2 linked regions of the Styela clava genome follow. The protein of the gene in region 1 purifies or fractionates together with the protein of each later gene. This does not show direct contact. Links are inferred from orthologs where the notes say so. Each region holds a gene or a part of one and is shown on either strand. Other genes may lie near its edges.

Region 1 (7,264 bases):
TAGTTAAAGTTATAGGATTAACAGCTGTCTTGTTAGCATAAGATTTAGAATGTTATTATTACCAAACAATTGGCTTCTAATAAAGTAATATGTTTATCTGGAAAATCATAATCTTGGTTTTCTGTTCTGCAAAAATGACTTTGACTTCTTGATTAATGAAAACTTTGACACAGACTCTGGGTTTGAGACTCTAATGTATTCTATTTTTAATCAGAATACTTGGCGCAATTTAAATAAATGCAGTTGCTATTTAGGTTTAAAATAATATGGCCCATACTAGGTAACTCGAACGAAACTGGCGATTATGTGAAGGAACAGTGCTAAGGGAGTTGATTAGAATAAGGAAACACTACCACAATTCGTCTTACCAGAACTAATAAATAATGTTCTAATGGTGATAGACACTGCATTTCGCGCGGGCCCAAATACCTAATGAAATTTTCAGATATTCTTAATGAGAATGCTTAGTCAACTCCAAATGTATTTTTTTTTTCAGTTTCCATGAAAGATTTTGAATTTGATGTCAAAAATTTCCCCTTTTGGAGAGTTTGAAAAATGTGACTCTGCAATCAAGACAAACTTGCCAATCTTCATCCCTGCAGCTGTGATTGCAAGTCAATGCAGCATGACCAATCAGAACAATTTTACTCCAATTACTTACTCACTATATCATTCCTATTTTCCAGAATAAATATGACTTACTTGTTGGCTGTTTGACTGAGAATGCTACGCGCTGTGTGTTTTGGTATTTACTGTTGGATTTGTATCGCGTAATACCAACATGAGCAAGGCCCATCCACCGGGATCAAAGAAGTTTATGGATAAGGATTGGATTGCATACCGTGTTTTTGCATAGACTGTTATGAAACATTCAATCTATTTACAAAGCTTGTTTATTTAGTAACAATTTTTTGTTACTGTGTTATTTTTGCACAGAAATTGAACTACAGCATCACCAATGTTCCCTCTAATTTTTTGTAGTATGTGTGCGCAGGAATTTTGGTGTCTGCGCACTTTTTTGGAAATGACTAATATTTGTGCAAAAACCAATGAAGAAATTTTGGCGTTCTAACCGGGTAATGGGTGGGCCAACAACAAACTTTCTCAACCTGCTAACCGAGAATATTGTTACATTACATCGAAATACGTCTGTGCGCAGCCTCTGAAAGCTGTGTGCGCGCGCGCACTTTAGAGGGAACACTGAGCATCACCATTTCGACAAGTGTTTTTTATTCCCTATTTCCATAGAAAAAGCACTGTAGTGTATTTATTAAATTGTATTTATAAATTGGGACCCACCGAGTGTTTATGTTTACACAAGTTTAATGCCCGAACGATACCCGTTCGTGTCTTCGTCTTTTTTATTTTAAATATATGTTTGTGTTGAATGTGGGTTGTATATGCATGTATATTGTCACGGACCATGATGTTGTTACCGTGGTTGTAGAATGAATCAGAAGACTCAAAGGTTCCGGATTGGTTGTTTATTGTTCGGCAATTCCAATATCAGACTTAAAACAACATAAACAGACAACACAACAAAATATAACTAAGGAACCGAAAACACGACCGCCCGCCAGCGCGGCAGCCGGAGAAGAGAGATCGAAAGACAGTTTTTGCCTCACATGTAGTGAGTGGTCGGAGTCCAAATCCGACAAAACAGCATTAAATAAATGTCAACATAACAGTCTACGGACCTTTCCCCGAGTATCGACTTCCTTGTTTATTTCGTGACATTGGCCAATCAGCAAGATGCGAAGAGTGACGTAACAATGCCCCCCTTTTCGCATCCGCTCAGACACTTTTCTCACTCAGACAGATTTTCAAGGCTGGTTGTAAACATTACCTCGTTTTCGCGTTTTTGAACTCTATTCGTTAGTTTTTAGTTGTATTTCAGAAACTTAAATAAAAATCAGATGATTCAATGATCACGCTGTCTTCCTAGGAGTTTTAATTTAATTGCAGTGATAAAAATTATTGTAGAAATAGCTGTGATAGACTAGCCTGAAATTCTTTACCGGTACTTTTAAAAAACAGTATGTTGTATGCGATGAATCATAATGATGGTTTGAAACACATACCCCATTTTACAGGCGCCAACTCGCAAAAGCACTCTTAAAATAGCCCTGAAAATTTTGCAATGGTAAAGTATAGGAAGAATTTTTCGAGGGTCAAAGGTCGGGGAAAGGTCCATAAACATAAAAATATATATATACACAAAACATAAACGCGGACACTTTAGTCCGCGACAATATCTACAAAGATTTTGCCAGTTTCCCCGATTTTCTCTTCTTCTGTGTGTTCATTGTTTGTGTTTCGTGTATGATTTTTGTGTGGGAAAATCTAAATATACTTATACTTTGAATGAAAATGATAGTTTTTAATGCGTGAGCCTGTTTGTAAGCGCCAACTCTCCTGAACACTCTCAAAATCAGCGTTGAAAATGTTGCATTGATGAAGTATATATATATGATTCTATTACAAAAAATCGTTTTGTCGGCAGTTGACAATATCGTTATAATTCAAAGTATGAGTCAAAAGGTTACATATACCATACTACATAAAATGCCAGAAAACTGAGCGCAAAATATTTAGAACATCTGAAAATAAATTTGTTTTAGTGACGTTTTATTCCAAATGGATGATAACTGCACGCAAACTCGCGTATCGTCATTTTTTTCCCCCTTATTCAAGTACCCAAGATTGTGTTTGTAGCAATCTTGAACTTTTTATCCTATTTAACCCATCTTTAAAAATAGATATAGTAATCACATTTTCGTAATATATTCACTTGAGCGCATTCTTCATACCAGGTCAAAGGTTATTGAAATATGTTATGTCATGTTTCCATGAATAGACAATTTTGCAAAGGAATGCGGGGAGCAAGCGTCAGTATCGCCATGGTTATATCGCGTTGTGGGATGTCAGAGGCGATAATATTTATGATTCTTTTCAAGTGGCATTCATATAAATAAACATGTCTATTTAATCGATATAGCAGGCTTGATTTTATGTCAAAGGGCCATTTAAACATATAACAAAGGCGGTCTCGCGAGCCCTGCCTTTATTACATTCTTTGAGTAAAATTATACCCGGCCTTTTGTCTGACTTTAATTGTTAGCTAAGGCGCTCTGTCGGCGAAGGAAGTCGGCATACATCTGGAGGCTGAATATCATATGTTTATGATTAAAATTGTATCAAATGGGAATGTTTTTATGTAATTATGAAACATGTTAAAGGTTGGACTAAATGACCTTGCGAGCCACAATTTTTCCGACTTCTTACTTGTGAGAGCTAGCACCATTTTACGGTTAAAAGTCTATCTAAGTGGGTTTATTTAACAAAAATGAAGAAGCCAAAACTTTTTGTGGCAAATAGGAGATATAGGCTATTTGCAGGTCACTCGAAGAACTGCTGTACTTGCTTATGTTATAATTCTCTAATAGTTAAAGGCAGTAAATATTTTGTCGGAGTCAGGAAAGAGTAGTTATGTTGCATAGTTAAAGTTATAGGATTAACAGCTGTCTTGTTAGCATAAGATTTAGAATGTTATTATTACCAAACAATTGGCTTCTAATAAAGTAATATGTTTATCTGGAAAATCATAATCTTGGTTTTCTGTTCTGCAAAAATGACTTTGACTTCTTGATTAATGAAAACTTTGACACAGACTCTGGGTTTGAGACTCTAATGTATTCTATTTTTAATCAGAATACTTGGCGCAATTTAAATAAATGCAGTTGCTATTTAGGTTTAAAATAATATGGCCCATACTAGGTAACTCGAACGAAACTGGCGATTATGTGAAGGAACAGTGCTAAGGGAGTTGATTAGAATAAGGAAACACTACCACAATTCGTCTTACCAGAACTAATAAATAATGTTCTAATGGTGATAGACACTGCATTTCGCGCGGGCCCAAATACCTAATGAAATTTTCAGATATTCTTAATGAGAATGCTTAGTCAACTCCAAATGTATTTTTTTTTTCAGTTTCCATGAAAGATTTTGAATTTGATGTCAAAAATTTCCCCTTTTGGAGAGTTTGAAAAATGTGACTCTGCAATCAAGACAAACTTGCCAATCTTCATCCCTGCAGCTGTGATTGCAAGTCAATGCAGCATGACCAATCAGAACAATTTTACTCCAATTACTTACTCACTATATCATTCCTATTTTCCAGAATAAATATGACCGATTTGATAGTAAATATGTCAGCTGGAGTTTCAAACGAAGAAATTTGTAATTTTGCTTACGACGGACAACAAGCTCTACTGCAATACAGAATATCACAGAAGCCACAGTTTGTCAATATTAAGGTGACTTCTCATTTTCATTACTTATCGATCTTAAGATCGGTAAGTATATTGATAGGTATTTGTCTGTATGTCTGTGTGTGTGTCTGTTAGATGCACGCGATATCTCACGAAAGCGAGATTGAATCTGCTCCAGATTTTGCATGTGCATTCATCTTATCTCGGACCAGAAGCCTATTGATTTTGGGCGAATTATGTCGTATAATTAGCGAGTTATCAATCAATTATTGATATAGTGATCTAGATTTTTGTAAAGCGAGAGAATTTTGAAACCCGCCGAGTGTGTGTGTGCGATGCGCAGTGCGCAAGTTACAAGAGCGGATGAATCGAAACTGCAGTTTCTGTTTTGGGGGATCCCCTAACTATCGATCGATAAGTCTTCGGTTTCCAACCGATATTCTCGTTTTATATTTTAATTGGTAAAGATGATTCAAGATTCTTGCAGTATACACGCATATATTATGTCAGGGGTTCTCAATGTTTTGGTGTTACTATTGTTTACGGAACCCCACAATAAATTTATAAAAATAAAAAAACACATTGTTATTTACCGATTATTGCTCCTGAGTAAACTGAAATTACTTTATTTAATGATTCAAATGTATTCGCTGCTTAGTTTTAAAAAAAAATATTCCTCTGAGTTTCTCTCACAGAGCCCTGGGGCTTCGTTTGGTTCACTTCAAGAACCTATGTATTATGTTACGTTTCATTTGACCAGAATCAAATTCCTTCCTACAAACATATTTTAGTTGTTTAGTTACTTATATTTTTATTATATATTTCTGTGGTATATTTACCAGATAAATTCACACAAGCCACTTTAAATATATAGGAATTAAATTTGGTAGAATAGTAGCGCTAGGGATGAACATCATTTTGATTAGTTTTCGTTTTTACAGTGTCAAAAGTTAAACTAAGCCATAATAAAATAAATTCATGTGAATATTCTGTTAAAATCTTTCCTGGACCAAGAATCACTTATAAATGCAATTGATCCGAATTTGTTTGAATTTCCAATAATATGCTTTGGGCATTTCGGACTGTCACTCACCATATAGGCCTACATATGATAAGTATCAGAATAGCTAATTAATAGTACCAGTATGAGTGACAATTATTGCTGTTTTATTAAGCCATGTCTTGTTTTGTCTGAAGAAATTAGACTATGATCTATTGAAAGCTCACAAATATACTTGCCATTTCGTGGAAAGAGATTATGTTATTCTTATTTAATCATTCTTCTTATTTTACAAGCTAAGAGTTATTGGGAAAGTATGGTTCGCCATATAATTACCTCATTTGATCTTTCCCTTCAGGCAAATAAGAAAATGTTTTCCTATTTTAGGACCAAACAGATCGAACACCACTACATTGGGCAACGTCTGCTGGGAAGCGAGACATTGCTGATTTCCTATTGGACAATGGAGCTGATGTGAATGCAAAGGATGACAGTGATTGGTCAGCTCTTCACATTGCTTCGTCAAATGGGAATGAAGAGATCGCTTTTGCACTGATGTCAAGAGGTGCTGCGATAAATGCAAGAAACTCAACAGGACAGACTCCTTTGCATTATGCTGCATCGAGAGATCGGTAATTTTGTTACTCAAAATTTACTTCGTGTACTATTTGGTTTTTTTTTATAGGCAATATAAATGAAAGAGGGTTTTTTTCAATAAATAATTTATATAATTAAGATATACAGTAATACTAAACAAAATGCCCCATATGCTCAAGTAGTTGGTCAAATAAAATGGGTCTGGTTTGAGAATAAGAATGTGGAACAAATTATTCGCCCCAGATGGTAATGAACATGGCATTTTTGATTTCCTTCATTAATTAATGATTTAAACAAGCCACAAAAAGCAGTTATTCAATGTTCTAAGCTACAGTGGCTCTTAAATAATGCATTTTATTTAAAGATAATAGTTAATATTAGAGACTATTCCTTGTGTAACAAATGAAAAACCTGTGCATTTATTAAGCATCTTTGGGTGAAGGTATCGGATCTTAATACCAGTGACAATTTATTCAGAATGTATTTGAGGGGACATAAAACCCACTTTGCTTCCATCTTTTTGCCTGTCACACTCTCATGTAATAGAATTCTTTGTGACTTGGGGTATCCTGCTCATCTCAACTTTCTTTTACCTAGGATCATGTATGAAAAATTATTCCATTCTGACATGATATTTGCTTTTACAGATACAAAATTGCAGAGGGTTTACTCGCCCGCGGGGCAGAAACAGACGTAGCGGATCATCTCCACGCAACACCGTTACATCGAGCTGCTTCACGAGGGAACACTAAGATGGTGAAGCTACTACTTGCATACAACACAAACTACAATTGTACTGATTCAGAGGGGAACACTGCTCTACATTTAGCTTGCGAAGAGGATCGTGTCGACATAGCACAAACACTCATCTCAGCTGGCGCTGATACTACAATTCGTAATAAAAATGATAAAACACCAATAAGCCTGGCATCAGACACGACACGTGGTATACTTAGGCGTGTAAGAGAAGCGTAAATAAACACTATTCATTTCCCTTTTATCCCCGGTTGTTCTAATCGACTTTTAAGTGAGTACTTTATGTCAAACTAGAACAGCAAACTACCCATGGGTCTACTAATCAGTCCAGCTTTCAAAAAAATTTCATCTCCAACTTCAAACCAACTTTTAATAACAAAAACTTTCAAGAATGCAAGCTTTCGTGAGCAGACTTTATAACCTTTATCTGAAGAAAATTTGTAGACTTGTATGATGTTAATTTAGATTGTATTCAGAGCCTGCTTAAATACCGGTAATCAATTTATTTTACTTCAAAACAATATTATCCATCACGTTTTTGATTTTATACCACTTTTTCGTTTGATAATTCAGTTATGACGCATTCTCGCCGCTTATTGAAACCCTGAATGAGCACATTTTGTATTCCCCTCAATTA
Region 2 (7,451 bases), on another chromosome or scaffold:
CAACTTTAGTAAATTAAAAAAAAATTAAGATTCCGATTTGAAAACGAAATGGCCATGTAGGATTTTGGGACCTCCCGTAGTATGTGAACCAAGATGGTGGACACCGGAACGTAGTACGAGTGCAAGGTTAGGGTTAGGCCATAATTCCAGGGGCCATAATTCCAGGGACAAATACTACGGGAGTCACTTGGCTAGTCCCTGAACTAGTAATAGGACTAAAATAAGGAAAATTGAAATAAAATCATGGCCAAACCCAACATGGCACACACACGTACTACGTTCCGGTGTCCGCCATCTTGGTTCACATACTACCGGACCGGTTACTAGAGTACAGTACCGGATTTTAAACTTCGAAATATAACACACACAGTCAATGCAATAAAGTCAGTCATTCAACCTGTATATAAATCAAAGTTTATATTCCAGATTTTTTAAATCTGTTTCAGAAGCAACCTGGCAAACACTATTATTAATCTTACCACAAGATCACCAGGAGACATATCTTCTGGTTCAACAAGACCAATCACAGGCAGGAAGTACGTCTAAAAACAAAAAGAGAGAATATATTGATTCATCAAACCATAAAACGGATATAAATTATATTAAAATGAAGAATCAAAATTTGAAAGCCTCTAATGAATGACTGTTTGCTAATGATCTGGCCGTTTACATACACTCACTTAAATAAATGAAACAGATTCAGTTATATTGTTCTCTCAATATCTAACTAGTGCAGCGGTTTCCAAAGAGACGCTAATTGAGCCACAACAAATTTACTTTCTGTTATGTAGTGTCTGCCTCTATTGTTACATAAAGATAGAAATAGACACTACCTACTGGAATTTCGCGAGCTGCAGTTTATTTATCTGCTGAATCGAGTTTAGCCAACATGAGTGATTTTTTCATCATTCTGCTGACTCGAGTTTAGCAAACATGAGTGATTTTTTCACCATTCCAGAGGAAAATCAGGCAGAGATGAGGAAGAAGAGTTTACCTTTTACCTTTATTCCTTAGGCCTACATATTTACTAACTTTAAAAGGTATGAAGTACACATTAACGATCATAAAATTGAGTTTTATTTGATGGTAGCAGTTTTTTTCTAAAAGTTTTTTCCCTGATAATTTGGCGCTCCCGAACAAAAAGTTTGGGCACCACTGAATTAGTGTATACACATAACATGCTATATATATAAAATCAGATGGCATACTTGTCTAGTTGATGTTTTAATCACTGCACATTTCCCCTTGCGCTGAGAATCTAAATCAACATTTGCTCCGTCCTCTTCCGCTTGCTCTTGAGGATCAACATCAAGAAGCTGAAATATTTCATTTTTTCATTGTTTTGTAAATACGGTAATTAAAGTCGTTTAGAGAAGATTTAAAAGGGTTATTCATTGATAATGATAACCAATCAATATGACATGAGATTAGTTGATGTCAGTTCATAAAAGCATCTTTTGATTTTTAGAATAGGAATATCATATTTATCTTGGGGGAGCAGAGAGACTTTAGGGCGGCGTTATCCCTTTGCCAAACCACTGCCTCTCATCCAGTTACCAGTCCATGTCGGGTATGGCAATAGTTTATTCAGATAATGAACTTGGATTTGCCGTACCCAACCAGCGGTTATGCGAACCACCCTACGATGGCTAAGAGTACCTACATATGTCCCAAAGCAATCGAATCCTTGCAGAGAAATCGAAGGTTGGGATGGCAAGCGTATTCCCCTCTCTTAGCATGATGTACCAACCTCCTGGCTAGAAAAAATATATAGAGTGAAGTTTCAAGTTTCAACATCATACATACCTCAATGACATTTGAGACAAGATATGGCAGCGTTTTGTTAACTTTAATTTTTTCAGCATTTTCCTTTATTTTGTCTTTCATAGCTTGCAATTCATGTGATATTCTCATCGTCTCACTTCGCATAATCTGGAAAGCAATTCAACATAAGGTATATTTTGCTCCGAAGCATTCTTACACAGTGAAAACAAAAATTTGGCACTAAAGTTCTGTCAAACAGTTTGAAAATGAGGGATTAAAAAAAAAAATTGAGAACAAAGAGCATTATATAAATATCTATATACCGTAAATAAATTGTTTGTGAATATATTATTTAAGGTAAAATAATATGAAGAAAACCTTAATTTCATTATCAAGAAGTTTCGTTCGACTTGCAATTTCCTCATTGCTCATTTTCATAACTTCTTCACCGAGTGCTTCCTAAAAAAGTCATATACAAAGTTAAACAGGCATCATTGGATGGCAAGCTCAAAACACGCTGAAATTGAAATTTTTTAATAATATAAAATAAAAAATAGTGATTTTTATCAACCTTTAAACCTGTTACTCAAGTGTGTGGTCGTGTGGAGTTAATAACTATTACCGGTACACTACCGGTATTTAAATCCAAAAAGCAATATTCAAAGTTTTTCGAATTTGGCAACAAACTGACAAATCAAAACCTTAATTCAGAGACTGGGCATTCAACTTTTAGGTAACTTATAGCATGAAAGTATATATGTTATATATATTCATTTTCTGACTATATAGCCAGCATAGGCTAACTGTTAAGTATGAGTATAAGTTCATTTCGACTCTATAATCAGCATAATAGACGATAATATAATTGAAAACAAAACTGATTATAGAATCAGGAGAGCAAACAAAATCTTAATTAGGGTTTGAAGCATACAGATTTTAGATGGAAAGGTATTGTTAAAAGAAGTAGTAGTATTAAAAGTAAAAGTATTAAAATCAATTACTCAGTGAAAAAAAATATACAAAAAAATAAGTAATGTTGATTATTAGTGCCTCATCAAAATTTTATCTAACATTGTTTGCGGTTTTCTCACCTCGACACTGTCAAACATATCCATTTGTTGTTCGTCTCCAGTAGGACTTTTTAGCTTCTCATCAATTGCCGGAGGTGCCATCTTCAATTATACTACTGCGACAGCGATTTAATTTCTAAAAAATTGTGTTCTAATAGAAAAATATATGATGATAGCTTGGAGTTTCAAGGTACGGCACAGTACGTAACTTCCAGACCTCTAAATGTAAATCCGTCCCTTCTGAAACGACAGAACAACAAAATCTGACAATGCAAATATATTAGATGCTTACTCATACTTTTGCCACTGGAGCGTTACGGGTAGTTTTTTAGGAAATAAATACAATTTTGGTTGAATATTTTTCCTATTTGTATATTTTATGATTAAATAATTAATTAATAAATAAGTTAAGACCAGAGTAAGCATATTGCATCATTTACTCCATATTCTTTTTGATGAGCTCAAACGCTAGGGGGAGAAGCAAGCTACTTCTTAAAATAAGGACGCGCGTTTTGATTGCGCTCAGTTCACTTTCTGCGCACTGTATGTTTCGGTATTTGCTGTTGGATTGTATCGCGTAATATCAAGATGAGCAAGGCCCATCCACCAGAATTGAAGAAGTTTATGGATAAAAGATTGGATTTAAAGTTGAATGGTGGACGATCTGTTACGGGAGTTTTGCGAGGATTCGATCCTTTCATGAATCTAGTTGTGGATGATGGAACAGAGCGCAGAAAAGACGGGACCACTGCACCCGTCGGAATGGTGGTCGTTCGCGGAAATTCGATATTAATGTTGGAAGCATTGGAAAGGATTCAATGATTTTTAATGAACTAATACCAACCACAAAAAAACTGATTTAACAATCCGTGATTGTGCATAGACTTATAAAAACATTTCGATCTATTTTCGGTCTTGCTAATTATCGAAAACAGCGTTTATCATAGTTTCTTTTTGTTTGTGCTGTTTTCGGTAAGTTGTAAGAGCGATTTTTATTTATGTTTGTATACCCTACTTTGATCTAGTGTAGCTTCCAAACATGTACTACTTAAATACTTGATTGCAAAACAAGCTAAACAGTGACTGCTTACCTCCAATAGTGATGGTTTGACACTATTGTTTCTATACCCCCAAAGTGGCATTGCGAACCATATGTATTTTAACTTAGCATATCATTGGGAAATAGTATATCTGTTAATATTGAGCAAAATAAAATGCATAGTTTCCTGTGGCTCTAATTACCTTCATTCTGTCATTTTTAACTGTTGCAGTTGTGTAATTTCAGTTCATGCTAGATCTATGTATGAAGGTAATTGAATTGTAAGTCTTATTTTCTATGTGCCAATAGCATTTTGCTATGGAATAAAATTTTTAAAAGTGAACGTCTATGTTTTAAATCTCAACACAATCCTATTGAGAAAGCCTGCAATGTGATACACATAGACGGATGTGCATATCCGCATTCGCTTAGAAACATTATCCCATAACGAATGCCTGTCAAAATGGGCTGTTATCGTCCTATTAATTGTTTGTCGTTTTCTTTGATCCTTGTTTTCTTGAGATATAAGCAAAGTATAAAAAGGGAAGCCGGGAAAATAACTTCTCCCAACGGATTGAGGAAATAAAAGAATAATACCCAATTTTGATATTTATATGATTCCAAAATCAATTAGATTGCAAATGAAGTGATGTTCCAAGACCACCTCTTACAGTGGTTCCCAACCTTTTATGGCTCGTGGCCACGCTGTTTGTTTATCATTCCAGTGTTATTTTGATTGGTAGATTCCAAGTTCCATTATGTTCAAACAATTCATGCACTAAAAAAGGGAGGAACACCATGTGAAATAACCTCATCAAGCAACGAAACTAGGAAGAACGGAGAGTTTTCTTGAGAAGTGGATAGTAAAATCAGTTTTACGCCTAGCATTGTGCCCCCCCCCCCCCCTGACCTAATATTTAATGCCGTACCCTACTTACTTTCTGTGCTCAATCCGAATGAACTACTCACTTATCCTGCCTCTTTCACCTTCCCATTTTAAAAGAGCCGGCACAATGAAAAGTAACTATTATAATGTATCAAATATATCAAAATTTGCAATAACTAAAAAATAAAACATTTCAGTAAAACATGATACCCATGGTGAAATTGAGTAATCATTTTAGTACAAAAATATATTCTCTATTCTCTGTGAGGGATAAAACGCTGCTATGCTAAAATACAGAACAAGGCACATGTGTCGCCCAAACTACCAAAACAGTCCAGGTAGGGCATGTATAAAACCATCAATGTGACAATGTAGTGACCAAATGAACGATTTGAGCTTTGGACAAAGCTGGAGCTACAAGGTTATACCGATGACATTATGTTAGGCTCAGGGCTGAAAATCAAAGACCTTAAGCTGGACCAGGCAAGATATTTGATGGTGAATTCTATTAACCAGGAGATATTGCTATTTCTTCCTGCCAAGGAGTTGTTTTCGTTGTGCTTCCAACAAGCCTTCTAGATGATCAGCACGCTTAACTGCGGACTCATGCTGTTGTTTTATTTGTGCAACTGATTCTTCTTTTTTCACAATTGCTGCTTTCACTCTTTTGTGTACTTCAGCAAGCTCCTCTTCTTTTTCTTGGTTTACTCGATCCAGTTCCAACCGGTGTCGAGCTCGCATTTGTGCGATTTCATTCTTCATCCTCTTATTTTCTTCCTCTGTGTGTACTAGCCGCTCAGCAAATTCGTCACGAACTATATCTGTGACGTTCCCTCTTTCTTCCACAAGTCTGTTTTTCACCTTTTTCACATCTAAGATTTCTTGTTCCTTATGAGCAATTGTGCTTTTCAGCCTCATATTTTCACCCTCCATGTCAGAATATTGCACTTTCATGTTGTTGTATTTTTCATGAGTCTGTCGTTCCAAAACTTCAATCTCTTTGAGTTCCGATTCATACTTTTCCCGTATTCTCTTGATTCTATTTTCAGCTGTTTTTTCGATTTGACTTCTTTGTACACCCATGTCCTTTTCAAGCTGTTCTATTACAGTTTCAATTTCAGAATCACGATCTTGTCGTACTGCATCTTTCAATTCTCTTTCTTTTTGGAGAACATATGCTTCCTGCTTTTTCATATAAGTTTCTTGCCAGGCTTGTTTTTCTAATTCCAACCGTTCTTTCAGAGTTTCGATTTCCACTGTATGGCGTCGTTCAGCTTCCTCTTTGCTTTTCTCATATTCATCTGTTAGTGCGGAGGTGGCAAGGCTGTTATGTTTTTCCAATTGTTCTTTTAGGCGATCAATGTCAGCTCGTTGTCGAGCAGCTTGCTCATTCAGCCTTTCTTTTTCATCGGATACTTCAGCATACAATCTTCTTCTTTGTTGCTGCAGAGCAATTTCTTCTTGTTCAAGTTGCTTTTCATATCTCTGTCTTGCCATTTCTCTTTCTCGATTGCAAGCTGCATCTTTTTCCCGTTCGAGATGTTCACGCAACTCCTCAGTTTGTCGAATATATCTTTGACCGGCTCTCTCATCTGATTGCAGTAACTCTGCTTCATGAATTGCTTTTATTTTTTTTACTTCCTGTTTATGTTTAGCTATTAACCTTTGTATCTCAGGTTCCAATCCTTTTACAGTCATTTCTTTTATAGTTTTTGTCTTATCCTCAATCCATTTTTCTCTTCGCAACTTCTCAGCAGCCGATAATACTTCTTTTTGCTTTCGGACTTCAATAGCATGGGCCTCTTGAAGTTCTTTTATCTTTTTCTGATATTTACTTTCAGCTTGCTTCATTTCAATAACAACCCTTTCACATTTTTCACCAAGAACTTTTTTGTCATCAATTAGTTGATCGATGAAAGAAAGATGCCTTTGGATTGTTGATTCATATTGCTCTTTCTGCATTTTCAATCGTTGGTTCATTTCTTTTTCCTGTTCATGTGCATGACGAACTGTCAATTCACGTTGCTGTGCAAGTGCTTTCTTTAGCAAATCCACACTTTTTGTCTTTTCGTCCACATTCAGACGTAATTTTAGCAACTCTGTTGTAACTTGAGAAGCAGCTTTCTCTGCTTGAACTAATTCAGCCATTTTATCAGATTCTGAAATTTCTTGATGTCTGTGTTCTGAGACATGACTAGTGTGAGAGCGCGCTGCCTCATACTTTTCATCCTGTTTCTCTACATTATCCAAAAACTCCATGAGATTGCTAAGTTTAGCTTTTGTTAACAAGTTGTTTGTGCTGTCTTGTACCGGTTTTGTACCATCTATGAAATCACCAGCACCACGAGCACTGCCAGAAACTTTTGAATTGGATACAGAGCTCAAGTGATCTGCCTGCATTTCATCTATCCACGCAAGCTTTTCATCAAGTTTACCATTAGTTTCTATTTTTGTTAGTTGCTCAGGCTCAGCTTCAAGTTGTTGTATTGTTTCTAACAAGCTTTCCAAGAGTCCTTGACTTTTTGTCGTTTCTCCTGGTGATTCAGGTAATTCTTCAGGGATACTTTCTTCATCTTGAGAAGGTATATCGTCTTTTTGTGCTGAATTATAGCTTGAACTTTTTGCAGTGGAAAATTTTGTTTCTTCAAATATCCTATCTATTTTATCTTCAACATTTTGAATAACTTTGGAA

Evidence for each region. Proteins that work in one complex are often made in the same cells at the same time.
Region 2: the proteins of uncharacterized protein LOC120332416 (region 1) and 26S proteasome regulatory subunit 6A-B purify together in Homo sapiens (co-immunoprecipitation; 7 studies listed by BioGRID and IntAct, counting the BioPlex papers as one, with this or other methods). This does not show direct contact. The link is inferred for Styela clava from reciprocal best matches to the Homo sapiens genes PSMD10 and PSMC3.

What each region holds. Positions count from the first base shown.
Region 1 is NC_135262.1:2,711,177-2,718,440, forward strand, and holds the start of uncharacterized protein LOC120332416, read left to right. Parts: upstream 1-4,187; 5' UTR 4,188-4,190; coding exon 4,191-4,319; intron 4,320-5,661; coding exon 5,662-5,906; intron 5,907-6,518; coding exon 6,519-6,846; 3' UTR 6,847-7,264. UniProt on the Homo sapiens protein: Acts as a chaperone during the assembly of the 26S proteasome, specifically of the PA700/19S regulatory complex (RC).
Region 2 is NC_135255.1:6,372,384-6,379,834, reverse strand, and holds the start of 26S proteasome regulatory subunit 6A-B, read right to left. Parts: upstream 3,090-7,451; 5' UTR 2,937-3,089; coding exon 2,856-2,936; intron 2,224-2,855; coding exon 2,143-2,223; intron 1,933-2,142; coding exon 1,807-1,932; intron 1,317-1,806; coding exon 1,209-1,316; intron 543-1,208; coding exon 480-542; intron 1-479. Other genes in the region: putative small nuclear ribonucleoprotein G, read left to right, coding at 3,423-3,656; centrosomal protein of 131 kDa-like, read right to left, coding at 5,285-7,451.